Schizosaccharomyces pombe: one gene and its partners. The gene in region 1 interacts genetically with each later gene. Each region holds a gene or a part of one and is shown in the gene's direction. Other genes may lie near its edges. The genes, in order: set1, pht1, ura5 and clr3.

What was found.
Region 2: mutations in set1 (region 1) and pht1 together harm fitness more than expected from each alone (negative genetic interaction), as found in Schizosaccharomyces pombe (2 studies listed by BioGRID).
Region 3: mutations in set1 (region 1) and ura5 together harm fitness less than expected from each alone (positive genetic interaction), as found in Schizosaccharomyces pombe (2 studies listed by BioGRID).
Region 4: mutations in set1 (region 1) and clr3 together harm fitness more than expected from each alone (negative genetic interaction), as found in Schizosaccharomyces pombe (3 studies listed by BioGRID, with this or other methods).

What each region holds. Positions count from the first base shown.
Region 1 is NC_003421.2:409,567-419,488, reverse strand, and holds set1 (histone H3-K4 methyltransferase Set1), read left to right. Parts: upstream 1-3,541; 5' UTR 3,542-3,961; coding exon 3,962-6,724; 3' UTR 6,725-7,196; downstream 7,197-9,922. Other genes in the region: family protein BIG1, read left to right, coding at 16-107, 170-1,013; ins1 (INSIG domain protein), read left to right, coding at 1,912-2,484, 2,710-2,873, 2,957-3,065; condensin complex non-SMC subunit Cnd2, read left to right, coding at 7,422-9,650. UniProt on the Schizosaccharomyces pombe protein: Catalytic component of the COMPASS (Set1C) complex that specifically mono-, di- and trimethylates histone H3 to form H3K4me1/2/3. Binds RNA which might negatively affect its histone methyltransferase activity.
Region 2 is NC_003423.3:1,501,703-1,504,984, reverse strand, and holds pht1 (histone H2A.Z-like protein Pht1), read left to right. Parts: upstream 1-1,540; 5' UTR 1,541-1,923; coding exon 1,924-2,343; 3' UTR 2,344-2,782; downstream 2,783-3,282. UniProt on the Schizosaccharomyces pombe protein: Variant histone H2A which can replace H2A in some nucleosomes. Nucleosomes wrap and compact DNA into chromatin, limiting DNA accessibility to the cellular machineries which require DNA as a template.
Region 3 is NC_003423.3:1,227,216-1,234,808, forward strand, and holds ura5 (orotate phosphoribosyltransferase Ura5), read left to right. Parts: upstream 1-3,827; 5' UTR 3,828-3,863; coding exon 3,864-4,511; 3' UTR 4,512-5,143; downstream 5,144-7,593. Other genes in the region: nbl1 (borealin N terminal domain-containing protein), read left to right, coding at 547-661, 711-879, 951-1,092; GINS complex subunit Psf2, read right to left, coding at 1,261-1,812; acetylglutamate synthase Arg6, read left to right, coding at 2,076-3,578; MBF transcription factor complex subunit Res1, read left to right, coding at 6,120-6,345, 6,473-7,593. UniProt on the Schizosaccharomyces pombe protein: Catalyzes the transfer of a ribosyl phosphate group from 5-phosphoribose 1-diphosphate to orotate, leading to the formation of orotidine monophosphate (OMP).
Region 4 is NC_003423.3:250,598-259,229, forward strand, and holds clr3 (class 2 histone deacetylase Clr3), read left to right. Parts: upstream 1-4,088; 5' UTR 4,089-4,224; coding exon 4,225-6,288; 3' UTR 6,289-6,541; downstream 6,542-8,632. Other genes in the region: GTP-binding protein Bms1, read left to right, coding at 1-1,902; cell cycle transcriptional repressor Whi5, read left to right, coding at 2,551-2,634, 2,713-3,387. UniProt on the Schizosaccharomyces pombe protein: Responsible for the deacetylation of lysine residues on the N-terminal part of the core histones (H2A, H2B, H3 and H4).

The sequences.
Region 1 (9,922 bases):
AAATTTAGTGTCAAAATGTTTTCTTGGAGTATTTTATTTATAGTTTGCTTTTCTTTAGTATCAGCATTTAAAGATACTTCGCCGATTTTCTTATTTTCTACGAACTCGTATGTCCTGCATCCATCGATGGCATTATACTGTGTAAATTATTTAATCTAACTAAAAACAGCAAACTCCCCAAATCATCCGATGATTCTTCAATATCCACTTGCCCTATGATGTTTTTTGACGCCGCAATTGAGGCACTTTCGACATGCAATACAGCTACCTTAATTATACATCAACCAGGCCTTGAGGTTAATGATTTTCAGTTGGGAGCTTTTAAACATTTAAAGCGTGTTTCTTTGCAATCACCCTATAGCTTACTTCTTCCTTATTCCAAGGAGTCTTTGGACTCACAAGAGTTGGTGCATTCGGCAAAGCAAAACTGCGACGTTGAGGTAGTTTACTTGGGTGGATCCTTTAATGCTTTTCCTCCTCTTCAAAATGATCGCATAACTGTTGTTTACATGAATGAACTGTCAAATGAAAGTTATCATAGAAGTGCACAATTAATGGAATTGGATGAAATGTTCTACAACTTACAATCTACCTTGGAACAAGATGCTCAGTGGAATGTAATTATAGCCTCTTCTCCTTTGAATAACTCAGATTTTGAAGGATTTAAGGTTGATGCTAACGAAGAAGAGGCCAATGCTGAATTTGTAATTCAAACGCTAGGTGGTCTCAACTCAGGGAAGAGTGCTCTTCAACACGGCCAATTGGCTTCTTTACCTGATCAAAATGAGGGATCACAAACCACGCTTGCTATGCACCAAACAAGGAAGCACCCTGTCACCGACAATGGTGCGACGGGACTGTTTACCGAATATCAATTTTTTACTCCTGGTTTGTACATGGGTTATTTGGCATTGGCTGTATTGGTTCCAACTTTGTTTATTTCTTGCCGTTTACTTTCCTCTATTCAAATCAGCTATCACGCTTTTGATAGTCCTCGACGCAAACAGTTATAAACCTCTTCTTAAGGTGAATAAGCTGAAGAAGTTTCAATTTATTTCTTTCTTTCATAATTGATACATCTCACACTTAATTTAGAAGAAAATTATTGTCATAAATGGTTCTTGATAAGTATAGTTTGGTGACATTTTTACCTTTCAGCGCAATTCCTTAGGTGTCCAAATGGTTAGAATGATCTTTGTTTTTTAATATATTGAAGTCTATTAAATAGTTTTTTGGACTGAAGAATTTATTTCTTGTGATGAGACAAACTTTATAACCATAATATTGTTTTTTCTTTATGATGATTCTCTACGGAAGGTGAAAGTTGTTGGCATCATGTAGTCAGCATAACTTTGTTTTGCTTTTTGTATTCTATTCAATTAATATTTTTGTTTTGCGGTTTTAAAAATAGTAGATGAATTTGCTATACTTTGAATAAACTAGAGAAACCACTTTAGGCATACAGACTCAATTATGAAATTTCCTTAATTATTTAAAGCAATTTCTTCGTGGCTGATTGTTTCGTAGAATGAGTGTTTGCGAGAGTTTTTTCCTTGGATATTTTCGTTATTAGTTAACATTGTCATTACTTATGGCATGCATCTTCAAGTGATCAAAGCACAATATACCTTAACAATAAGAGTAATATGGATGCAGAAAAGTTTTGAGTATATTTCTATAATTTAGAAAGGTCAAATTCACATATAAAAGTGATTGTAAATATTTATTCATTTCAGATCTCTCTTACTTGAGATCTTTGTTACTCAAAATTGTTACTTGTCACTGGGCTATGCGTGTTTTGTGCAATGTCTCGATTCTGCCAAGTACCTAAACGTAAAGATTGATTCTTCTCCATCCATTTAGTCAGTTTCACAAGGATCTCTACAGAAAGGTGCCGTAAGCTTGAATAAAATGAGCAGAAAAGAGATTTACGAACCCCGTCCGCGCTACCCAGATGGTTATAATGGAAATCGAGCGGTCAAGAAGTCCTTGTCGGTACTTTCTTTGGACAATATGAAATCGACACTATCAGGGCTTTTTGCTCCACTTAAATTAGATGAAGAGCAGGCAGAAGATGATGAATCCCTGAGTAGTTATGAAGATTACGCGTCTAGACAGATCGATGATGATTTAAAGAAACAGAGAAAGAAAGGGATAACATTTATAGACTATTCATCTTTAATAACTTTTTTTTGTAAGCTTTGTGTTATATTTGGATTAGGGTTTGTGTTTACTTATTTGGCTGAACAAATTGTGCAAGATGCAAAGCTACCACTTCTGACGGTCAATCTCAAAAGTTGGAAATTTGAGCCCCCATGGCCTGCAATTTTTGGCTTCGTTGCTGTCATACTTGGACTCTCTTATCGACGTATGGATACGAAGTATCCTTTGGGAGCTGCCCCTTTACGCCCTTCACAATCGTCTAAATGGCAATGGATTTCTCGGTATCTTGCTGCTTTCGCTACATTGCTACTTTCTATGAAGGTAAGTTTTACATTATACGAGGCGTTCCTTTAAATAAAAAAGTGAAATATATATGCAAGATGTATGGAGTTACAGCAATTATCTATGCGTAACGACTTCTTGATATAGTTTATTCATCACCATAAATAAGTTGTGCTGTTTTCTGAGAATTTAAGTTTGATAGTAAACCCTCTTTGCCAATGCTTACTATGCATCGTGAATATACTCTTGCTAACTTATCTCTAGAAATTACTATTTATTTCGAATTCACACTCCATTGTTGCACTCGTTGCGAGTTCTGCTAGCATTTGGTATATATTTGATCGCTCAAGAAACGGTATTATTTTGTCGACAATTACTTCTGTGTTGGGGAGTATCTTATATTATAATTTGGTTGATACCTCAAAAATGTATGTTAGTTGTTATCCATCAACTGCCTACCAAAGGCTGCTCCAGTATTTTCAAACATTCGTTTATCAGCTAACAAATTTAGTGAGTTAAATGGAGTTGAATTCCCTGAAATTCAGTTTCGTTTATGGATTCCTATGATACTTTTCTCCGCTTCTACGATTGTTGGTAACGCTGGTCGTCTACTATTTTAATTTATTCTCTAGGAGTTGGTTGTTTGTGCTTTACGTTCTCTTTTTAGCCTTAGACTTCATTATCCAAAACAACCGGGTTAAACTTGTTTTGCTAAATGTTTTCCTACTTCGCATCTGGGCACTTATTTGGTTTTTCTGTATTCGATTATCCTTTTGTACCTTCTCGTCTCATTCATCGTTGTGTGCGAATCGGTTTTCTATCATGTACCAACAATCTTTTCATGTTAGTATTTTCTATTATGATTCCTAATATTCCTCATGTAGTTTATAATTATGTCTTTGTTCTAAAACATTCATCTACAAGTTTTCCTTTCTCAAGCCATTTATTCTTGCTTCTCTTCAGCAACATTGGTAGTGTAATATGCAACGGTATCTTTGGATAACGATTTTACTAAATTTCGCTATAAGAGCTACTGTGGCGCGTAATATGAATTGGCCTACCTTACACAAACATCCACAGAGATCCTATAAACTTTGTGTTTGGCCAAACGGATGTTTGACAGAGCTTTTTTACTTGTTATTAGCCTTATGAACGTATTTATTTGAAGACTGATCAAGTTTTACTTGAGTTTTTGAATATTGTTATAATTTACAAAGTAACGTCGCGCGACATACTTTTCCAATTATAAGCTGAATTACGGTTCAAATACTTTACAATAGAAAGCTCTTCATCCCGGCGATATTATTTCTTTTTACATAACGTTTTTTTTTTCATAATTTGTCAAGGCTCATTATTGGAATAAATTACACTTATCGAGTTGTTACCAAATTTTTGATTTTGATTTAGTGCACAGGTTTTTAATATCTCTTGATTTTTTTTTTTTTTTACTTTATAGCTCTTTTTTGTTTTGATCGAATGCCTGGGATTTGCTACTTGGATTCAATATTAATCAGCCATGGATTTTAATACCTCTACGCGGTCGAAATCTCAACCCGTTCAAAGGAATAATTACAAAGTTTTATACGATCCAGAATTAGGAATCAAGGAGAACCTTGGTCGCAAAATTATATATCGGTTTAATGGTGTTTCAAAACCACCTTTAGTAGTTCGCGACCCTAGACTTAAAAATCCAATATATGCCCGCGGTATTCCTAAAAGTGGAAGGCCATTTTTAAAATCTTTGCAAACTATAAATTATGACTACAATGAGAATTCATTAGGTCCAGAACCTCCAACTCAGGTTTTTGTTTCTAACATCTCACCGCTCGTGACTTCTGAACAGCTCCGATATCATTTTAAATCATTTGGGGAAGTTTTCGATTTAGACTTAAAGTTAAACCCTTATACAGGTACTTCTTTAGGGTTGTGCTGTATATCTTTTGACAAGCGTAGTTCCATTTCTGTAGCAGCACATTCAGCGAAAATTGCTGTACAACAAGCAAATGGCTTGAGGTTTTCCGGTAAGCCTCTTTCAGTAGTCCTTGATCGGGATGGTTCATTATGCGAAGAAGCGTTCAAGAAAGCTTTAAATGCTGTTGAAAAGCAATTTCAAGAAGAAACTTTACAGAAACAGAGATTCGAGCGGGAAGATGAATCTTCGCGGCAAAAGTTATCTGCAGCTATGAATGAAGATATTCCTCCTTGGCGTCAACCATCGAAAAATTCACAAACATTGAGCAATGGAGACTTGCAACATTCTAAAGTTCAGAACGTGGACCAGAAATCAGGTTTTCTTACGTCAAGCGAGACTGATGTTCCAAAAAATATTAATGATTATATTTATTTACTAATTGACGATCGCTTTGTCCCTCCAGATCGTGTGTATTATACTGATATAAAGCATCATTTTCGAAAATTTTTGTATGAAAAGATATACATGAACAAAGACGGGTTTTATATAACTTTTAATAATTATCGCGAAGCGAGCAATTGTTACCGTGCGCTGGATCGTACATACGTACAAAATTGTCGCATAAAATTGAAATTTCATGACATTCCTTCACGTACAAAGGAAGATGGAAAAAAGAGCGCAGTACGAAGAGTTGTTTTACCTCCCGAGGAAGCGTACGCTGAAGCAACCTCAGTTGTGCTTAGAGATCTTGAGGCTGCTTTGTTACGTGATGTAAAAAGTAAAATAATTGGACCGGCAATCTTCAAATATCTTCATTCAATGCCTAAGCCTTCTGTTAAGGAAGAACTACAAGAAAATTTATTGGTTTCATCTACAAGTGTTCCTGATGTTCCTTTAAAAATTGAATCAACAGTCGGAAAGCTCCCCAGTCTTCCCAAATTTAAAAAACGAGTTGATTCCAGTAAAATGAATCTTTCAGCGGGTAGTAAAACGAAGTCGAAACTTCAAAGAAGACGTAGAAGAAGGCACGAAGCTCGACCTTTACACTACCAGCTTAATCAAATGTATAACTCAAGCGCTTCTGAAGCCGAGTCTGATCAAGAACTTTTGTTATCTTCTGGAGACGAGCGTGTAGAAAGAGGGAAGATTGGCTCAATAAAGTCTGTGAAGTCTGACGAGGCGACTCCAGTTTTTTCTGATACATCTGATGAAAATGACAAATTCCATCGTTTTCGTACAAAATCTAAAATATCAAAGAAAAAATATGAAAAGATGGAAGTTGACTATACTTCGTCCAGCGAAACCGAATCAGATGCATCAATACTTTCTCCTAGTGCTGCGATTCCAAAATCAGGTAGCGCCATAAAAGATGAACTCATATCGCCTAAGAAAGAGATTGATGAAGTTTTAGCTTTAGCTCCCAAATGGCGTATTAATGAGTTTGATGAAACTGGAAGCGTTTATTATGGTGCACTTCCTTACAATTATCCAGAAGACGATGTACTTCTTGACTTGGATGGTCTACAGTACTTGGTAAAAAATGACGAAGATTACTCATATCTTCAAGAGGCACTCAAGGATGAACCCCTCATGGATATCAACGATCCCAATTTCTGGGCTTATGAACGCAAGTCATGTAAATTTAAGAATGGGGATGTTAAGTATGGAGATACGGCTATTCTTCCAGAACCTAAAGGTTATTTTCGCTCTAATACTAGCGGTTCTGCTAAAAGTGAGGGATACTATATTATTCCAACTACCGAAAAATCACTATATCTACCACTTCGTAATCGATCAACCATCGATACTATTAGTCATTCTACAAGCCGTATCACATCACGAATGAATCGTGTTAACAATAGAAGATTGGCTGCTGGAGTTGAAAAGTCTCAATTGCCAGCCGAAGCTGACTTGCTCAGATTCAATGCACTAAAGGCTCGTAAAAAGCAATTACATTTTGGCCCTAGTCGCATTCATACATTAGGGCTTTTTGCCATGGAAAACATTGATAAAAATGATATGGTCATAGAGTATATTGGAGAAATCATTCGACAACGGGTGGCTGATAATCGTGAAAAGAACTACGTTCGTGAAGGTATTGGAGACAGTTATTTGTTCCGTATTGACGAGGATGTTATCGTTGATGCTACAAAAAAGGGAAATATCGCGCGTTTCATCAATCATTCATGCGCTCCTAATTGTATAGCTAGGATTATTAGAGTTGAAGGGAAAAGAAAAATCGTAATTTATGCTGACAGGGATATTATGCATGGAGAGGAACTTACTTATGATTACAAGTTTCCGGAAGAAGCTGATAAGATTCCTTGTTTGTGTGGTGCTCCAACATGTCGTGGCTATTTAAACTAGACAATGATGCTCTTGGAGAATTGATGGTACATGAATATATGGGCAGCTGTACAATTATAATAGTTCGTTTAAAAAGCACGCATTATATCTGATGGTACACTAATGCTTTTTATTTTTTAATATAGAATAGAATCAATTTTCTGTCTTACATCGTCTGCATTTGATATTGGTTGAATATTTTGAGAGTCAGGATAAATGCGCATACCATTCAGTGGATTGCATTCAGGAGTGATTTAGAAGTAAAATGTTAAGAGATATACTGTCTTAGATATATCCATTTGCTCCACAATACTACGAAGTTCAAGTTTAAATAAACGAAAACGAAAAATAAAATTCTCTTAAAACTTGATAGCTACTGAATTTTAGGATCCAAACTTGATTTGGTATTACCTTGTTAATTTTATATGGAAGATTTATAATAATTGAAACTTCACAAAATTTGTAACAGAATAATAAACAAAAGACTTTTGACTTTGTAATCGGGAAGCCATCAATGAAGTAAATTGGGAAATACTATATTATTTGAAAACAAATTTCAAAAGAAAAATAATGTTATCATATTGGCATTTATTTAGAAACTTATTTGAATCTTTATCATTTGTTGATTAGAAAGAAATATACGGCATATCGTTAAAGCGCGATATACGTATAGGCACACCGACTTACCACTTGTGAACATAAACATTTACTTAAATCAATGAAAAGAGCTAGTTTAGGCGGGCATGCGCCCGTTAGCTTACCCTCCTTAAATGACGATGCATTAGAAAAAAAAAGAGCTAAAGAGAACAGCCGTAAGCAGCGCGAGTTGCGAAGAAGTTCAGCTCTGCACTCAATAACGCCAAGAAGAGAATCTCTAAACAATTCTTCACCATTTAATAGCTCTCATCAGGTTCCTGTTCTTTCTAATTTTGAGGAATGGATTAAATTAGCTACTGACAACAAAATTAATTCCACAAATACCTGGAATTTTGCGCTTATTGACTATTTTCACGACATGTCGCTTCTACGTGATGGTGAAGATATAAATTTCCAAAAGGCAAGCTGTACATTAGACGGATGCGTGAAAATTTATACTTCGCGTATTGATTCTGTTGCTACTGAGACCGGCAAGCTACTCAGTGGATTGGCAAACGATTCCAAAGTATTGCAGCAAACGGAAGAAGGCGAAGATGCTGAAAATGATGATGAGGATCTACAGAAAAAGAAAGAGAGAAAGCGTGCACAACGTTCGGTAAAGACTCTCGTTAAAGATTTCGAGTCAATACGCGCTAAAAAATTTGAGTTAGAATGTTCTTTTGATCCTTTATTCAAGAAAATGTGTGCAGATTTTGATGAGGATGGTGCTAAAGGCTTATTAATGAATCATCTTTGTGTTGATCAACATGGACGAATTGTATTCGATTCTAGCGATACTGTCATCAAGGATTTGGAAAATAAAGATGTTGAAGCTGAATCGCAGGAAGCGGTAGTCGCAGCGCCTATCGAAAGCCATGACACAGAAATGACTAATGTGCATGACAATATTTCTAGGGAGACCTTGAATGGTATTTACAAATGCTATTTTACCGATATTGATCAGTTGACAATATGTCCCTCCTTACAGGGCTTTGAATTTGATAGTAAAGGGAATCTTGATGTCTCTCTCTTAAAATCATTAAGTGATGAAGTTAACATGATAACGACAACCTCCTTAGTGGATAATACGATGGAGAAAACTGATGCTGATGCAGCTTCCCTTTCTTCCGATTCCGATGGTGAAGAAGGACATATTGTGCATGCTTTGGAGGAAATGGCTTACGATGAGGAGAACCCATATGTTGATGTAGTACCAAAAGCAATGGACGAATCCGAAAATCCAGATTTTGGTGTGGATACTGAAGTCAATATGGCTGATGGAAGTACTATGAATGAAAATTATTCTATTATTTCTACTGCCGCTGCGAATGGAGTATACGAATATTTTGACAAGTCAATGAAAAAGAACTGGGCTGGACCCGAACATTGGCGCATTCAGGCATTGAGAAAAAATATCAATAACGCATCAACTGTATTCAACTCTTCCAATACGGCTGAAAGTTCAGATAATGTATCGCGTTCTCTTTCTTCCACGGAACGGAAAAAGCGTCGAGAACTTGATAACGCCATTGATTTCTTGCAGGAAGTAGACGTCGAAGCACTGTTCACTCCTGCAACCAGCAGTCTCAAGCTTCCCAAGTCTCATTGGAAAAGACATAATCGATGTTTACTACCTGATGACTACCAATATGATTCTAAGAGGCTTTTACAGCTTTTCTTGAAACCAAAGATGTCAGTTCTACCCAACGCTGATGGAGAAGGACAGCTACAACTGAATAAAGCCTTAGATGATGAGAATGATTTGGACGGTATTCAACCCCATGGATTCGATTCTGATGGCAGTGATAATGTTGATGAAGGAATACCCCCGTATGGATTTGGAGATTCCGATAGCCCTAAGCAAACACCTCTGCTTACACCTCCATCATCATCAGGATTTGGTGATAACCTTTTGTTAACTGCTCGTTTGGCAAAACCAGATATGCTGAATTATGCGAAGCGTGCTAAAAAGGTTGATGTGCGAGTACTGAAAGAAAAGCTATGGAAATGTCTAGATCTTGAAAACACAATTAAAGAAAATTCCATCAACTCTCATATTGAGGGTTCGGAGATGGAGTCAGAAGAAACCAACATGCCAGTCAAATCTTTTTTTTCCACTGTCAATCAATTAGAGGAGACATACGAGAAAAAAGAACTCAAAGATATATCCACCAGTTTTGCCTTTATTTGTGTTTTACATTTGGCGAATGAACATAATTTAGAGCTTACAAGCAACGAAGATTTTTCAGATGTTTTTATTAGGCCAGGTCCTAACTTGACGACGCTAGAAGCATTAGAAAATGATGTTTAAAGTGTGTAGAATCGAAATGATGCAGGTCATCATTAATTAGTCATCATCGCATACTTTTAGCTAGCGTGAATCATTTTCAAGATAGCCGGAAATTATACTCTTTTTGATCTACCTTGAATAATAAAAACACTAGCTCGTATTTTTAGGCTGTTACTACTTTTTGACATTGAAGAGTTGTGAAAAATGAAGAGTGCAAATTGCATTTTGTGGAGCAAGCTGACAGCGAAATTTTTTGTAAAAAATACACCTTCCTTTTATCTTGTGATCGTTGA
Region 2 (3,282 bases), on another chromosome or scaffold:
AATAATATAATAGCTTAACATTTGTTATCTTTCGATAAAGCAATATATGTTCTTACGACGTATGTTTTAAAGTAAACAATCGTCTTTATTAGTATGAAACTATGAATTGGTTTTTATGAAAAGCTAGTTGAGCAAAATTAGCGGTTTGGATTCGACATCTGAATAGAATTTTAGTTAAACTTGCTCCCACACTACTTATGCCCAAAGTTTTACCGAAGTTGACAGTTTAATCAACAATTCCTGAATTTGCTTATACTTGGTGTATCCTTTCTAAAAAAAAACTAGAAGATTTTTGTTACTGTACTTGAAAATACCTATTATAATCTGTGGCTACAACATCACAAGGTCAGAGTCTATACCCATTGTTCTTGGCTACAAAAGATCAAGTCCAGAAGGAGCTATCCATAACCAATATTACAAGGCATGCAAACATATTTTGAGAGTACATCATGACTTGTTAGGCAAGTAGTAAGAAAGACGGATATAAAAAAATAGCCTACAGCACCCCGGATTCCCATGTTGTCTCCAACCATAGTACTAACGAGGCCCTCAGACGCTTAACTGCAGTGATCGGACGGGAACTGGTGTTTTCGCCTAGGTATGGCCGTAGACATTAAACATTCTAGTTTATAAATTATAAAGGTTAGAAAAAAAGTTTACCGGTAGTTTATAAGTTGTTTGAAATTAATGGGTAAAGGTTTTTGTGCTTTTATTTTAGTTTATTGCAAACATAAATCAGAGCTTTAAAGTTTGTATTTAGTATAACCATACATTAAGAATTGCGAAACAACTGCAGACTCCAAATTTAGACTGGAAAACGTCTTACTCGGAAAAGAGATTTTGCTGCTATTTTATCATTATTAACACTCACTTTGCTATTAACGTTACAGTCATATTAATATCATACCCAAAAATTTGAAATCTTTTTTCCGCATGAAAAAGAATATAATATAATGTATATGCCTCCACTCGGAATCGAACCAAGGATCTTCGCATTACAAGTGCGATGCTGTACCACTAAGCCATAGAGGCAGTATCGTCGGAATGTATTTATTAAATTATATATACTAATGCTAGTTTTAATACTCGACAAGTTGGCTGGTCAAAAAGTAGTTTCTTAATCTGCTGTTACTGATCGCTTTCGACAATAACAATTAAATAATAGTGCAGTTTATTTATTTAAAAGTCTTTTGTTGACATAGGATTTTGTTCAAGATAAATGGTTGAATATAGTTTAGTAGAACTACAACCTGCAATCAGGCAAAAAGCATGAACAAACTAATATAGCTCTAAAGTAAAAAACTATTTGAATCATTTGCTATACAGATTATTAGGCACCGACCCTTCAGTTATTTGACTACAAATGTTAACATGTCAATAAGTTAGGCATTCTCTGGTTTTCTTGATGTAAATAAACTGACGACATGTACCGTATCTACGTAAGAGCAATTAACGAATACTGTAACCATTTCTTATAATGCTTAACAATGTACGACATACCGCAGTGCACCCAAAAGTTTGAGTAAACTAGTACAAAGGTGTTTGGCCTCCATACACCTATGGATGTTCAAGAAAAGGCGAAAACCTAAGGATCAAATAAGTTTTTGATTAAATAAATTATATAAGGGTATTTATAAACTTACATCTATGAATATTAAACCCACAATATGAGAGTATGCAAATATGAGACGTTTCAAGAATTTAGCTGATTTTTTTATACATTAAAAAAACGTTTCATCCTTTGTCAATATTCTATAAATTTATCCTCTGTTGTTAGAAATTCGAAAACTTGATGTTTAAAGGTACAGCCCCTCTGTACGCGGCTTTATGATATTAAGACACGCACCTCGCGTTCACGAATCTGCCTTCTCCCTAACACACAAAACATTCGCTTTTTGCAATTGCAATAATCGATTCAAAATGATGTCTGGAGGCGGTAAAGGTAAACATGTTGGAGGTAAGGGAGGTTCTAAAATCGGCGAACGCGGTCAAATGTCGCATTCAGCTCGCGCTGGTTTACAATTTCCTGTTGGACGTGTTCGACGCTTTTTAAAGGCAAAAACTCAAAATAATATGCGCGTCGGTGCAAAAAGTGCTGTATATAGTGCTGCAGTCCTTGAATATTTGACCGCTGAAGTCTTGGAACTTGCGGGAAACGCGGCAAAAGATTTGAAGGTCAAACGTATCACACCTAGACATCTTCAACTTGCTATTCGAGGTGATGAGGAGTTGGACACTTTAATTCGTGCTACAATTGCGGGCGGTGGTGTATTGCCTCATATCAATAAACAGCTCTTGATTCGTACAAAGGAAAAATATCCCGAGGAGGAAGAAATTATTTAATCATTTTTGTGTTTTCGTTTCTTTTTACAATCTAAGGATTTATTTTATTTAATTGGTTACCTTTTTCTATGATTAAAGCATGGAAAGTAAAATGTGCATGCGCAGTTTAATGGAAATGCTCTTCCCTCCATGTATTTGCTCCCTTTTCATTCCTCTCAAGCCTCCAAACAAATTTGTCCTGCGTTTCATCTTTAGACGTTATATTTCCAATATGTCTCGTTTCATTCTGTCCAATTACACTTTGCCAGGTTCAATCGTTAGTATGTATCCATGCATCTAGTGGTTTCTCCTGCGCTGTTTAGTTTTACTTCTTGTTTATACGATTTATTAATTTTGAATTTTTCCAAACGCTCTAGGTATAGACTTAAGCTGTAAATGATGCTCGCTTAGCGTTCAATATAGTGTGAAATACAAATATTCATATCACTTTCATCTTGTAAAATTTAATAAACACGTATGTCTGTTGAACAATAAGCACATTTACGTTCTTTTACCGTTTGCTCGTAAAATTAATTCACCTCTTTGATACTAAATACATCTAAGTAAGTGCAGTTTATATGTTCAGAGCAAACACGAACACTAAAAACTAAAGTCTAAAGAATATACACCTTTTTTAATACTTAAGTATAAAAAATATGTAAATAGAATATAGTATAAATGAGGATTAAAAAACTGGAAAACAAAGGATAAGAGTAAGTAAGAAAAAGGGAGATTAAAAGGCTTCAGTTTTATCAGGAATGAAAGAAAAATAGATTTAAACACTCAGAGCCTGCTTTTGTAAAAAGAACGGCGATAATTCCCTTGACAGTCAAAGAAAGCATTTAAAGTGATATTTACAATAAAGACACAGTAAAGGGAACAGAACTAAAAACGTTACTAAATTCACATTTAATGGCAAGCTCAATATGTCAGTGTTTTTTATATGCCCTGTAAATTGCC
Region 3 (7,593 bases), on another chromosome or scaffold:
GCATAACTATTTTCTTATGAATTGGGTTAAAAAAAAGCTAACAGTCGAAATATAATACAACAGAGGTTGCATTGTAGCGTATGGCACTGGAACACGTTATACCAAATATCTTTTTTAAACAGTTTTCAATGTTGTATGCGATGTAGTTGAAGAGGGAGACTTTTACCTCGTACAATATTTTTTTATTTGATATTATTAATAATTTACTTAGAAGTAAGCATCATCAATTCTTATGTACCTTTTAAAGTGATGTGTTTCAACGCTTTTATTTTGTAAACTTGCTGCTTTTTTCTAATTCTAGGTCATTATTCTTCTTTCAATTTATAAAATATCTTTTGGGTACGCTTTTTTGTGCAATCCTCTCCTTTCTAACGTTTGTTTACATATTGAGTATTAGGTAACGATGTTACTTACATATTAGTTGAAGATTTATTGTTTATACAACAACTCTTATTCCCACCACCTTTTCAGCGCACCCAGAAGTACCGTCTTTTGATCAGCTGTTAGCAAACATCTGTTTTGTTTTTTGATAATTTATAATGCTTAATGATGAACAAGCGTAAAAGAGTGGAAGAGCTTGGAGAGACGAAACATCGTCAAGTACGACAGCGAATTCTCCAAGAACACAAGAACGATATACTTGAAAATTTAGCATTTGAACGTAAGTTTTTGTACCTGGAAGTAGTAAAGTGTTAACGGGTATTTTTCAGTTTCCGATAAAGTACGACGTTTGCGCTCAAACGCTAGTTTACTTGCTTCAACAATTCGTATGCGAGGAGAAATGCGTATCGCCGCTATTCCTCGCGCTCAACGAAATATGCATCTGCGCGATCTAAAGAACCATCTTTCCTGCAATGTGTCTGCCACACCGTGGAGAACGTAAGTGTAATATCAAATTTTACTTTGCCATACGTACTACTGGAAACACTAATTGCTAATTACTATTTCAGAAAAATAAAAGAATTTTATAATCTAGACGAGCTTTCCTCCCAAAAGTCCGCTAGACAACCTACAAAAACGGTGGCATCCTCCTCTTCTTCTTCATCAAAAAGCACCACCGTTTCCAAATCGAGTTCAAAGTCGCAAGTGTGAAACCCTCATCTACTGCTTACTGTGATAAAATTTCACTACTACAAAGTTGGTATTCATAAACACTTCGTAGGATTCATTATCATTATTTTTAAAGTACATCATCCACACGATACCGAAATATTCTCATGTGAAGTCCATTTATTTCCCACTTTACTTTTGATGAGTAACTCATTCTTCTTGGGAAACTTGAACAATTTTGCGCATTCTGTCCATCACCTCTCGAAATATAGGACGTATTTCGTTAATTTCCATTGCACCCAAATTATCCAAAGTTAGTTGAACTTCATTAATGGCTTCCAATCCCGTTCTTGCTTTACTTTGTCTAGCTTCTCGAATGTCCAGCAAAATCCTCCTGATATCCTCAACATCCTCGATATCATCAGCACAGAAGTTTAACAATAAATGCGCCGTTTCTAGCCACCGAAAAGGCAACTCTGAGAATGTCTCGTTTTCCAATTCATCATCTCGTATGTTTTCAAGTTTGCCTATTTCCATCCATTCCGGAGGTACAATCCTTGCCAAATTTTGCTTTTTTAGCTCAAGAGCCAACCATAAAGGAACCCGACATTTTTTGGGAGGCTTCATAATGGGAATCGTCGCGCTAACTAGCGGCAATTGATCCATTGTTTCTGAAGGAACAATGTTAATATACTCATTGCCAGCTAAAAATTCCATTTCCTCTGGTGAGAATGAAATTTCAAGTTCCCTTGGTAAGGCCATCTCTATCACCAACGAACAGTACAAAAATGCCTATCAATAGTACCGTTTTTGGGCTTAATGTCTTTTTTTATTTAAAGTTTTGTTTTTCTATTTTGGAGTTCGTTTATAGCATTTATTGGTTGTTATTCCTTACAGCATAATTTTTTGTGTGGTGGGTTTCGGACTCATAATAGTCACCCTCATCTAAATCACATCTTGCTCTTAGGTCATCGGTATATGATTGTCAAATTTTTATATTTCTCGTTTTAAGGTAATAATTTTGAATGCAAAAACCTTCATTGTCACAAGACCTTATTTGGATATTGAAATCAGTCCAATCTCGTAGGTCTACGAAAGGGTTTTTGCAAAAACATTCTTCGCTTAAGGATGGCTCTCCCAACAAGAAATCCTTCGCTCAGCCAATATCGAGTTCGTTTTTAAACAGAATTTCTATTACCAAAATTGATGATGTGGATTCTTTAAGTGATAATACCCTATATGGAATTGGTCGAAGTATAAATAGCCTGGCACGTTTAGGGATTCAATCAGTGATTGTTCCCACTTCCAATCCAATTGGCATGACATCTCCTTTTAAATATTTGGAGAATGGTACGGTCGTAGCGAAAAAACGTAAACTTTCAATCTTTGAGGAGCTACAGCAACAGCAAAATAGAGTCATTCGAGTTTCGGAAATTTTTTCGAAAGCGGGAGTGTTAACCCGTCCTAGCTACTCCTCTGTATGTCAATTGGGCCCTGAAGGCCCTAGTGTTGAGAATGTGCAAGGTATTTTTCAAGCGCTGTCTTCACTTTACACGGTCATAGTGCCAAGCTCGATTTTAATGCCCAACGTCATTGAGGTTCCAATTGATGGTAATGAGGTTCTTGCTGGTTTAACTTACTCGTTACACAAGCCAAACTTTGGGTTTTGGGTAGACCGAATCGTCATTCTTGATAAAAATGGTGGCATGCCATGTTCTAAACGACAAACTGGTTCTAGTCATGTTCTCATCAATCTGGCTCAAGAGTTTGACGAGTTAGCGAAAACACTTCCACCTTATCATAGAAAAAATTTGATTTTGGTAAGACGCTGTTTGAAAATGTTACCGGATGATGCCTCTGCTCTAATCACTACGCCTGAGGATGCTATGCTTACAAATCCTGTCTTAGACAAAAATCCGTTAATTCACAATGTTTTGACGGATCGCTCTATTATTTCATGTTCCTTGCCGCGCGATCGATCTCCTATTACGAAAACAACTGTTTTGCGTAGCGGTGTACCGGTATATACATTCCTAGGTCCGAAATGTCTAACTGATGGCTCCGTTTCGTGGGAAAGGCTTTGGGTTTTAATTAATGACTCCTTTAAGCGAACGCTTGATATGGACGCATATTTAGATAGGTTGAAGAATTCGCTAGCTGCAGTCATTATTGCAGGGGACTATTTAGGGACAGCCATTGTAACTTATGAACAACCAGATGGAACAACGAATGAAAAGGTCCCTTATCTTGATAAGCTTGCCGTCTCACAAGGAGCCCAGGGTTCAGCAGCAATATCTGATGTTATGTTTAATGTTATGACTGATTTATTTCCCAAAGAGTTGATATGGCGCTCTCGCCTGACTAATCCAGTCAATAAATGGTACTTTGAAAGAAGTGTAGGCTCCTTAAAGTCAAGCAAAACACCTTGGAAACTTTTCTGGACTGGAGACTCACATGTCAGAAATTTGGATCGAGTGAACCAGTATATGAGCGTTATTGATAAAATTCAGCCAACATGGTTGAATTGAGTGGAAGTTAACGATTGCACTTTATCAGAGACAAGATTATTTCGCTTCTTCAAAAGCACTTGTCAAACTTTTTAATAAAAGGAAAAAAGTCCATTTTGATAGGACATTAATTCTCTTTTGCACATTAGATTATAGATTGAGTAGTTTGCCTACAAACTTGCATTTTTCTTTAGTTATGATTTTTGTTTATTCCCCCACATAACCCCCATGTAGAGCTTAGAAAAGGTGATACTAGCTTTTTTCTTTTGTGAGTATCAACGTTTATCAACAAAACTAGTAGTAAACATGTCTTATAAACTTGAGTTGTTGCGTCGTGCCTTAGAACATAATGTTTTGAAGTTTGGAACTTTCACCTTAAAATCAGGCAGAAAATCTCCATACTTCTTCAATTCTGGTAATTTCACTCATGGTGCCGATTTATGCGCTCTTGCAGAAGCCTATGCCGAGACTATTATCGCTATGAACGTTGATTTTGATGTCATATTTGGTCCTGCTTATAAGGGTATCTCTTTGGCTGCTATAACGGCCGTCAAACTTTATGAAAAAACTGGAAAGAGCTATGGATTTGCCTATAACCGCAAAGAGGCCAAGTCCCATGGTGAAGGAGGTAACCTTGTAGGCGCCGAAATGGAAGGTAAAAAGGTTTTACTTTTGGATGATGTTATTACCGCTGGAACTGCCATTCGTGAAGCAATTTCCTTCTTAGAACCTAAGCACGTAAAATTGGCTGGTATCGTCCTTTTGCTTGACCGCCAAGAGCGACTGGACCCCGAAGTAAACGAAAGTACCATTGGTAGATTGAAGAAGGAGCTTAACTTACCCGTTTCCTCCATCCTTACTTTGGACGACATTGTTGACTTTACCAAATCAGACTTAACTGCAGCTGAATCAAAGGCAATGGATGCTTACAGACAGCAGTACCAAGCCAAATGAGCTTATGGTAATGTTTCTTTTAAAAATTTGGAAGGAGGAAAGAGAATAATTGGATAAGTATCTTTTTTGGTTTTTAGCTTTGCTTTTTTAAAGAGAGTGAAGTTAGTTGGTATTTACATATGTTATAGAATTTTTTTATCTGTATATTTGTGGTGATAGATACAACTCATATTAGAAGGAATTTTCTATAAAGCGATTGCATTTAGCGGTATTCAAAAATTTCTCTATAATAGACGAAGGAAATTGGTTTACTTGTTAAGCTTTTGTTTTGCACATATCCATCTATCTTTTGATTAGTTCCGTGAATCTGTTTTTTTTGTGTTTGTTTCTTCTTTTGTGTTATTCGAATCTTTCCAAGATGACAGTTAGGAATGAAGCTACCAAAATATTGAGTTGAGGGATAATTAATGTTTCACAAAATGGTATTTGTGTATTATTTTTGTAAAAATTTGTAGGATTTGGTTTTTAGTGATGATTATTTACGTTCGAAAGACGCATATAATGGGCAATTATAAAAAATTTAGGATTTTATTTTTCAATTCTGCGACGGGTATTTATGCTCTGTGTTTGAAATACCAAATATTAAATAATGGTAAAACCTTTAAACAGAAGCCTGGTGATTAACTTTTTATTATGACAAGAAAATGTTAAGAAATTTTGGAATGTTTTTATTCTCATATTCAATGTGAATTTGAATAAGTAGTCACTGCAGTCTATAAATAAAAATGGTTTATTAGAAAAACTCGAGTTGAACAATGAAATTCTTTATCATTTATGTAATACAATTGGTTTAACATAGTGGAATCGAATGGTACAATAATTGAGTTACTAATATGTAACCTTCAAGTATTTATCGTTTACCACTAACTCACCATAAGAGAGGGTGAAAGATTTAGTTCTGTTTGTGTGAGATCTTAAAAAAGCAAGCAAATTTCCTTTTTATCAAAAAAAGGATCCGCATTTCCTGAAGCACTTTACTGTGATTTTAGGGATTTTTTTGGTGAGTAAGAAGCAGTGTTTTTCGATTTTTCTGAGATCTCGCTGTTGAAAAAATCCGGACTAAATCGGCTCCGTAGTCGATAAACCCAAATCTACAGCTTTTTGATTTAAATTATACAAATCGTGATCTGGAAAGTTTCGAAAGGTTTCTGTCCTTACATATTAAAGTTCTTGGTAGTTGAGTATCTTACATCAGCTGGTAAGATACGTGGATTTTTAGGGATAGCAGAGGTCTTTAAAAACATCTGTTTTTAACTCAAAACATAGAGTTAAATACTTTTTAATTGAAAAAATCTTTGAGGCAAACGCCGCTGAGAGAATATATCCTTTCTTTAGTGCATGCAGTTAGTATCATATGTATTTCCGACTTTATCTGCTATAAATACTCGGTTTTCAAAAACTATCGATATTTTGTAGAGGAAATTTCAATTTGCTTCTTCTTTCTCATTTGCTTCGTTTTTTTTTTTATATGATATTAATAGCTGGCGCTGTGGAGTTGAGACATTAAATTATTACAAACATTTAGAGAGACGAAACGTTGTTATTGCATCAAGTTTTGAAGCTCTTCCTTCCTTCCTTTTTTTTAAATTGCTTGCCAATAGTGCCGTTATGTATAACGACCAAATACATAAAATCACCTATTCAGGAGTGGAAGTATTTGAGTATACGATCAATGGCTTTCCTTTAATGAAACGTTGTCATGATAACTGGCTTAATGCCACGCAAATCCTTAAAATTGCAGAGCTCGATAAACCCAGGAGGACAAGGATTCTGGAGAAATTCGCTCAAAAGGGACTTCATGAAAAAATTCAAGGTGGTTGTGGAAAATATCAAGGTTTGTGTTAACTTCTTACTATATCAATAGGTTTAAAACTACTTAAATAACATAAAATTTTTGTCTCTGTTGTTTTTATTTATCAATTTATACTTTTTTGGATGCCTGTTACTAACTATTCATTCAGGAACTTGGGTACCCTCTGAAAGAGCTGTTGAACTTGCTCATGAATATAATGTTTTTGATTTAATACAACCTCTGATTGAATACTCTGGCTCTGCGTTCATGCCAATGTCTACGTTCACTCCTCAGAGCAATCGTAAGCCTACAGAAGCATATCGACGAAACAGTCCAGTAAAAAAGTCATTTTCCCGGCCTTCGCATTCTTTACTCTACCCTTACACATCTTCCAATAATATGACATCTACTTCTAGAATGTCAGGAATCCATGATGCTTTGTCTCTTCAATCTGATTTCACGCGCTCTCCCGATATGCCTTCTGATTCCTTTACGGGATCTTTGCACGATATCAAAGCTTCTCCGTTTTCTTCAAACAATTATGCGCAGTCTCTCTTGGATTACTTTTTATTACCAAATACTACACAACCTCCTGATTTCGTATATGATCGGCCATCAGATTGGGATGTTAATGCTGGCATTGATGAGGATGGTCATACAGCACTTCATTGGGCTGCTGCAATGGGAAATTTGGAAATGATGCATGCACTATTGCAAGCAGGCGCCAACGTAGTTGCTGTCAATTACCTTCAACAAACATCTTTGATGCGCTGTGTAATGTTTACCATGAACTATGATTTACAGACTTTTGAGGTAGTTTCGGAGTTGCTTCAATCTGCTATCTGCATGAACGACTCTTTTGGCCAAACCGTCTTTCACCACATCGCATTATTAGCTTCTTCTAAATCAAAGATGGAAGCCGCTCGTTATTATATGGATATCTTATTGCAAAATTTAACTGCAACACAATCCGTTGATGTCGCTGCCCAAATTATAAACCTTCAGGATGATCATGGGGATACCGCTCTTTTGATCTGCGCTAGAAATGGTGCAAAGAAATGCGCGAGATTATTATTATCCTTTTATGCATCATCCTCCATACCAAATAATCAGGGCCAATACCCAACAGATTTTTTGTCTTCGAAAGACATGTCTTTTCCCGAAAATGATGATTCCCCCTTAAATTCCAAAATCGAGGATAATTTGATAGATAACTTAAAATATCCGCAATCACTTGATGACCACTTATCGTCCAAAAAACCTATTTCTTACTTTTCTAATAAACTTACT
Region 4 (8,632 bases), on another chromosome or scaffold:
TTAAGATGGAAAGAAGGACTTGCTTCTAAAGCTGCTTTGGCATACTCTCAATCTGGTAAAAGGAGAAGAAATATTCAAAAAATTTTTTACGATGAATCCCTTTCCCCTAAAGACGCGTATGCTGAATATAAAGGTGAATCTGCAAAATCTAGCGAAAGCGATTTGGTTGTTTCAGACGACGAGGAAGACTTTTTTAAAGTGTCAAAGGTAGCAAATGAATCTATATCTTCGAATCATGAGAAGCTTATGGAATCGGAATCTGACCGTCTCTCGAAAAAATGGGAGAATCCACAGCTGTTAGCACAACTGAAGTCGAGGTTTATAACCGGTAGTCTCCTTGATTCTATAGAGGGACAGGAAGAGGTTTCTCAAGATGATGAAGAAGGTGATTTTGAGGATCTTGAAGATGAAGAAAATTCTAGCGATAATGAAATGGAGGAATCATCAGGCTCTTCTGTAACTGCTGAAAATGAGGAATCTGCTGATGAAGTCGATTTTCAAACAGAACGTGAAGAAAATGCTCGTAAAAAGGAGGAGCTACGTCTTCGTTTTGAAGAGGAAGATCGTGGAGATCCAGAAAAGAAAGACGTTGACTGGTATACGGAAGAAAAGGAAAAAATTGCACGTCAGCTTGTTATAAATCGAGAAGCTTTTGAGGATATGGATCCTGAAAGTCGAGCTGAAATCGAAGGCTATAGAGCAGGCACTTATGTACGTATCGTAATAAACGACGTTCCGTTTGAATTTGTTGAGCACTTTGATTCTCGCTATCCCGTAGTTGTTGGTGGATTACTACCTAATGAGCAACGGTATGGATTAGTTCAAGTTCGTATTAAGCGTCACCGTTGGCACAAAAAAATACTTAAAACGAATGATCCTCTGATTTTTAGTATGGGTTGGAGAAGATTTCAGTCGATACCTGTATATTCAATTAGTGACTCGCGTACTCGAAATAGGATGTTGAAATATACTCCAGAACACATGCATTGTTTCGGTACCTTTTATGGACCCTTCGTCGCTCCCAACAGCGGTTTTTGTGCGGTCCAATCTGTAGCCAATTCGTTCGCAAAGGCGGGTAGCTTCCGAATTGCAGCTACGGGCTCAGTATTGAATATCGATCAATCGACCGATATTGTTAAAAAATTAAAATTGACTGGTGTTCCCTACAAAATATTTAAAAACACAGCATTTATTAAGAAAATGTTTAGTAGTCCTTTAGAAGTTGCAAAATTTGAAGGTGCCAATATCAGGACTGTTTCAGGGATTCGAGGTCAGGTTAAAAAGGCAGTTGATCAGGAACATGGACATTTCCGTGCTACATTTGAAGACAAAATTTTAATGAGTGACATTGTATTTTTGCGGGCATGGTATCCGGTACAAGTGCGAAAATTCTGTACAATGGTCACCAATTTACTTGAGACGGATAAAACGGAATGGAACGGTATGCGGTTAACAGGAGAAGTTCGGCATGAATTGGGATTGAAAACTCCTTTACGACCCAATTCTCAGTACCAGGAGATTGTTCGACCCTCTCGACATTTTAATCCTCTCAAAGTGCCTGCCTCGCTTCAAGCTCAGCTTCCATTTAATTCTCGTCAAAAAGCCTTACGTCCTAGAAGCAAACCGACGTACATGCAAAAACGTACAGTTTTGTTGAATGCAGAAGAACGGAAGGTAAGGGATTTGCTTCAAAAAGTAATGACTTTGCACACGGACAAGGAAGCGAAACGTAAAGCAAAGAAAGCAGCAGAACATGAGCGGTATCATAAAAGGATGCAAAAAGAGGAGCAAGCATATATTGAGAAGAAGCGGGAAGAAAAAGCTGAATGGTTTGCTCAACATGGGAAGAGATTGAGACAGGATGGTAATTCTTCTGGTTCAGGGAAAAGATCAAAAAATTAGATTTTTAAAAATGCGTATTCTTTCTGTTTTATTGAGTTTGTACTGGTGCGTCATAGACGAACTTTTACAACTACATATACATTTTGGGAATTTAATGGGTTTAATATTTTATAAATAAAATGTGTTTATTATTTTCTGTGTACAGTTTGCATTTGAGCTTTGTCTCTCTTGTGAATGATTTGTATCAACTATAAGGTCATGTAACCAAATAATTGGGAGAATATATCTATGTTTCTGAATGCAATTTTTTTGGTCTATTTGCAACTTCTCATCGACGAAAACGGTGTTTACAAAAAGACAAAGGTACCAAGTAAATTGCATATAACCGACATCAGTATATTCATGTAACTTTGGCTGATAATCTTATGTTTTTATTGTTTGTATGGTAGAGTGTTTTGTTACTTGATAATTCTGGTGTTCTGCCTGTTGCTTTTTTCAATCGTTTGTACGGGCAGGCGCGACTTTCGACTTACCAACACATCGTTCAACGCGTCTTGTTTCAATTGAAACAATTATATGCTATACGGAGGATTATTTGATTGCAATTGGATATTATAAAAGGAATTTATCGAAAGGAGAATTCGAATAGGCTAATAACTCGTCATTTTTATATACCTGCATACAGACGAACTCAACAAATATTAATTCATGGCAGGCGGCCACAAGAAAAATGAAGCTACAAGGCAGACTGATGAAGTTATTCAACAAAAATACGATGAATCATTAAGCAAGGTATGTCAATTACGCAAACACAATTAGGTAACATCTCGACGATACAAATAGAATCGTCGATGAATAATTTTGGTTTAGCATAAAAATCGTTGCGAATTGTCATTAACTTTTGAATACAAGTTATCAAACAAACTTAGGGCTCGTTTGAAGGCAGCGTTTTTTAAGGTCGATCATGGATGGGAAGATCAGACATTAGATCAAGTGGAAACGCTTGTTCGTAAGGAAAATCACGTTCATCGTAGATCACGCTCGATCAATGACTTGGACTCTTCTAAGCTAAGAAGGCCGCATCACCCCAACTCAATTATGGGATCGAATACAGGCAAGCTGCGTGCAAGTTCATTTACGCGATTGGTGAGCCCAAGAGAGGGCTTCGCTCAGCTTCCTTATAAGAAGCCTGTATCTCCTTACTCATCTTCTAGTGCTGTTTCTTCTACGTCCTCGTCTTTTGATAGAACTAGTCCTCCTTGGTTGAACTACGTTGAGCCTCATACTGAGCTACCCAGACTGCCATTTGAACTTAGCCATGCCTCCACTGCTTCAGCTAAATCTCCACTGTTCGGAATGAATTACCATATTTCACGCCCTGAAGAAACCGATGAGTCTCTTCGCCTTGGCACTGCAAACCTCAGTAGAATTCGCAAGTCCACGAGTCTTCCTTTTCCAACGGCTTATCCCCTATCGGCAGATGATTGCAAGGCAGCTGAAGTTATGCTTACGTTGGTGAATTCTATGCCTTCGAAAAAACCATAACATCCTTCATTTTAGATGGTATACGAGCATTAAGATATAAAATTACATAATTATTTCATGAGAGTTAATCTATAATTTGGATGAATAGATTGATTGTTCACATCCTGCTGAAGAATTTTTGGAAAAATCTCGTTTGAGAAGTTTTGTTATTTCTTGCTATCCGTCTCCAGTCCTATGGTTGATGAGCTATTAACCCTCTATATGTTTAAATGCTTGATATGTACAAGCCAAATTGTGATAATGCTTAATGATGTTTATGACAAAGGGTGAATGTTTCCGGGCGTACAACAGTCTTAAAGATCATAGAAACATTATTTACCATGTATTTATTAACGTTCTTCCTACATCTTGATCCTTATGATTTGAAATGATTATTATATAAGATAATGGAAATTCGCGAACTCGCAAAATTATGCATTCATTTCGAAGTATGGCTCGAGACAAAGCTATTTTTAAGTTTCTAAGAAAATAAAATAAATAAATAAATAAAAATAAGACCCTCCCATGAGCCTCATTACAAACTCTATTTTTTCTCAATCTCCATACGTTCAGGATCAATCTTCTATTTAAAGCCTTACTAAACGTCTTAATTACTTACATTTTTATTCTTTACCAAACAAACTCCTTTGTTAGCATGGTTGAGATTATATTCTCTCATTGCTCCTCTATACTTATGTCTTAGAAGTACCAGCAACAGTTTTGACGACCAAAACTACCTATATCGAGTGAGCCGCGCTTCAAAAAGTGTTTCGACAGTTTTATGAGGGAGTTGTTTAATAGGAGATTTTTTTATTAATTTATTAATTGATTGACCTTTTTAAGGGCGATAGAAAACGAATGCTGGCCTCTAATTCTGATGGTGCATCTACTTCTGTAAAACCATCCGATGATGCTGTAAACACGGTAACTCCATGGTCTATTCTTTTGACAAACAATAAACCAATGTCTGGAAGTGAAAATACATTAAATAACGAATCCCATGAAATGTCGCAAATCTTGAAAAAATCTGGATTATGCTATGATCCTCGAATGAGATTCCATGCCACTCTAAGTGAAGTGGATGACCATCCTGAAGATCCAAGACGCGTCCTTCGTGTTTTTGAAGCTATAAAGAAGGCCGGTTATGTATCTAATGTGCCGAGTCCGTCAGATGTATTTTTACGGATTCCGGCTAGAGAAGCTACTTTAGAAGAGTTATTACAAGTTCATTCACAGGAAATGTATGATAGGGTTACTAATACCGAAAAAATGTCTCATGAGGATTTGGCCAATCTCGAAAAAATCAGTGATTCTCTATACTATAATAACGAAAGTGCGTTTTGTGCTCGATTGGCTTGTGGTAGCGCAATTGAAACATGTACGGCTGTCGTAACTGGTCAAGTAAAAAATGCCTTCGCAGTTGTTCGCCCTCCTGGCCATCATGCAGAACCCCATAAACCTGGTGGCTTTTGTTTATTCAACAATGTTTCTGTAACCGCAAGGAGTATGCTACAACGCTTTCCGGATAAAATAAAAAGAGTATTGATTGTCGACTGGGATATACACCATGGAAATGGTACGCAAATGGCTTTTTATGACGATCCAAATGTTCTATACGTTTCTTTGCATCGATATGAAAATGGTCGTTTCTATCCTGGCACCAATTATGGGTGTGCAGAAAATTGTGGAGAGGGCCCGGGATTGGGTAGAACTGTAAATATTCCTTGGAGTTGTGCTGGCATGGGAGATGGTGATTATATATACGCTTTTCAGCGCGTCGTAATGCCTGTTGCTTATGAATTTGATCCAGATTTAGTTATTGTAAGTTGCGGCTTTGATGCTGCTGCAGGAGATCACATTGGTCAATTCTTGTTAACTCCAGCTGCCTATGCTCATATGACACAAATGTTAATGGGATTAGCAGATGGGAAAGTTTTTATCTCCCTTGAGGGAGGTTATAATTTGGATTCTATAAGCACATCAGCCTTAGCTGTAGCCCAAAGTTTGTTGGGAATTCCTCCTGGACGATTGCATACAACATATGCATGTCCACAGGCCGTTGCTACCATCAACCATGTAACCAAAATACAATCCCAATACTGGAGATGTATGAGGCCGAAACACTTCGACGCAAATCCTAAGGATGCCCATGTAGATCGATTACATGATGTTATTCGAACTTATCAAGCTAAAAAACTTTTCGAAGACTGGAAAATTACCAATATGCCAATACTAAGGGATTCCGTTTCCAATGTATTCAACAATCAAGTACTGTGCTCTAGCAATTTCTTTCAAAAAGATAACCTTCTCGTTATTGTCCATGAATCTCCTAGAGTCCTGGGTAATGGAACTAGTGAAACGAACGTTTTGAATTTAAATGATTCGCTTTTAGTAGATCCCGTGAGCCTTTATGTTGAATGGGCTATGCAACAGGACTGGGGGCTTATCGACATAAATATACCTGAAGTGGTTACGGACGGTGAAAATGCACCGGTTGACATTCTTTCTGAAGTGAAAGAACTTTGTCTTTATGTATGGGATAATTATGTTGAGTTGTCGATTTCAAAAAATATTTTTTTCATCGGTGGAGGCAAAGCGGTACATGGATTGGTTAATTTGGCATCTTCCAGGAATGTGTCAGACAGAGTTAAGTGTATGGTGAATTTCCTTGGCACTGAACCTTTGGTGGGTCTTAAAACGGCATCAGAGGAAGATCTTCCAACGTGGTATTATCGTCATTCACTCGTGTTTGTGAGTTCTAGTAATGAGTGCTGGAAAAAGGCAAAGCGTGCTAAAAGAAGATATGGACGACTTATGCAAAGTGAACATACTGAAACTTCGGACATGATGGAGCAACACTATCGAGCGGTTACTCAATACTTGCTGCATTTGCTTCAAAAGGCCCGACCAACTTCTCAGTAACATTCGTTATTGACTTATGATTTTTTCATGGTTTTCTATTCTTTTAATTGTCACACATTTAACCTCCTTAAGTTATCTACGTTAAAATTTATAACGGACATTCATGATTTGCCAAACCCGCTGAATGATTCGTACTCAATCTGCTAAGCTGCTTTGTCTCTTTTACTTATACTTTAATTCGAGCTCATTATTCTCAAGGTTGGTGGATTTTGACTTTATTTTCCAGTAGAATGTATACACAAATGGTTTATTGTTATTGCTGGCTTCATTTTATTCATGTTCAATATAATTAAATAAATAAGGTTATAATATTGTTTTATAAAATAAAGCTCCTCAAATCCGTGATATTATTTTAGTTCAAACAACTATTGTTGATTTTTGTCGTAATTTTGCTTAAAAGCATTTCTCTAAAGCTGAGGGAAATCCCTCATCCATTTTTTGTACCGCAAAAGGATAATATTATAGTATGTTGTTTAAATTGTAAAATTAGATTCATAGTACAAACAGCATTTAAATTGTTTTCTTATTCTCCAATATTAATAACTATATCACACAAAAAAATTGATTTGGTTGTATGGTGTAATGGTTAGCACGTGAGATTCTGATTCTCGAGACCTGGGTTCGATTCCCAGTACGACCTTCATGAATGATGGATGATTCTGTGATGTTCAACTTTTTTAACTAATCCAAATTGCATGAATGATAACCGGTCAACAGTAATTGTAAATGTAGCAACTTTACTATTAAGGAAGGCTGGCTTTTTTTTTTTTTAATAAAACGACTTGATCCTATATTATATATAGCACTAAACATTTGCGCAATAACTCACAAGTCAAGGTGTTAGCAACTGGTAGAAATCTTGTAATCTCCCTTGCCTAGAAGATTACTCTCTTGTCGTAGCACAACTGCATTTTATTTGAAGCTGCTCAATACCATCTTACTTTGGTTATTACAGACAAGTAATTACCCAAAGTATCATTTGAATCTAATTTTAGCAAAAATGTAAAAAGGAACGGTTATAAAGGTCGTACTGGGAATCGAACCCAGGTCTCGAGAATCAAAATCTCACGTGCTAACCATTACACCATACAACCGTTCGAATGCTAGGTAAATTTTGTTATTATTATACTATTATATAATATGATCTCTATATCAACTATTGACATTTCACATGCATGGAATTATATTTAAACAACCCAATTGTGAAGTGAATTAAATGCTGCCTATATTTTTGTGCTGTTTCAAACTTCAAGCTGTCTTTTATTCCTTTAAAAATTCAATTGAAAATATGCCTCTAATATTTTAAATATAATAAAAATAATTAATTGCGAGTATATTCAATTCAAGCAGGTTCAAAGGCAAGTGTATAATGCTATTATTTTATGAATGTATTCAATGAATTAAACGTAATATTGTATGTAGAACTCGTAAATGTGCCATAGATGGAACTTTGTAGTTGAATTTGTGTCTTGCTTTATTTAAATTATTTTCTCCTTGTACGACTTTATAGCAATAAGCAAAAGTAACTATTATTTTTTATAAATTACTATTTTCACAGACAGTATAGTGAAAAAGTGATTGAAATAGAAACAACACTTAAATAAATTATGGAATAAAAATAATTAATATAAGTATAAAAACAATGTGTTGAATTGCTTGTAGTAGGACCATCTAGTTTGTGTATGTTGAAGGTGAGTGACTTAAATTACAAATAAAATAAATTTGAAACCTACTTTGTTTAAAGTAGATTCAATTAAATATTTAGAATCCAGTATATCCATATTCTCGTCATCTTAATTAACATAGGTATCTGAAATATACGACCTGGAGTAATGCTCAAAGTTAAATGTTCCTTAATACTTTATATTTACTCACAATCCAATGCTTACATTTAAAAGCAAGCAGAAAAATGATAAATAAAGCCAAAAAGAAAGCTGAGTAGTAGTTTAGGAACGAAAAAACAGGTCGTACTGGGAATCGAACCCAGGTCTCGAGAATCAGAATCTCACGTGCTAACCATTACACCATACAACCCTTATTAAACGCCTGAAGAAAATAAGAGTATATATATTACATAGTGTATCATTTTATCAAATATATCGAAGTAGTTGAATTTGCATAAAATATTCCTTTAGCTGAGGATTTCAAGATTCAGTGTTTGTAAACGTAAATCTAACCAGTCAAGTGTTTTCCATTGCTATAAAATACCTCAAACGTATACAAAATGTACCTTGAAAATGTTGGTAGTTAATTTTAAAGAATTTTGGATTAAAAAAGACTTTTTTTACAAATGATATATTATGTTGATAAATTGCAATCCTGAAGCTGGCAGATATGACCTTAA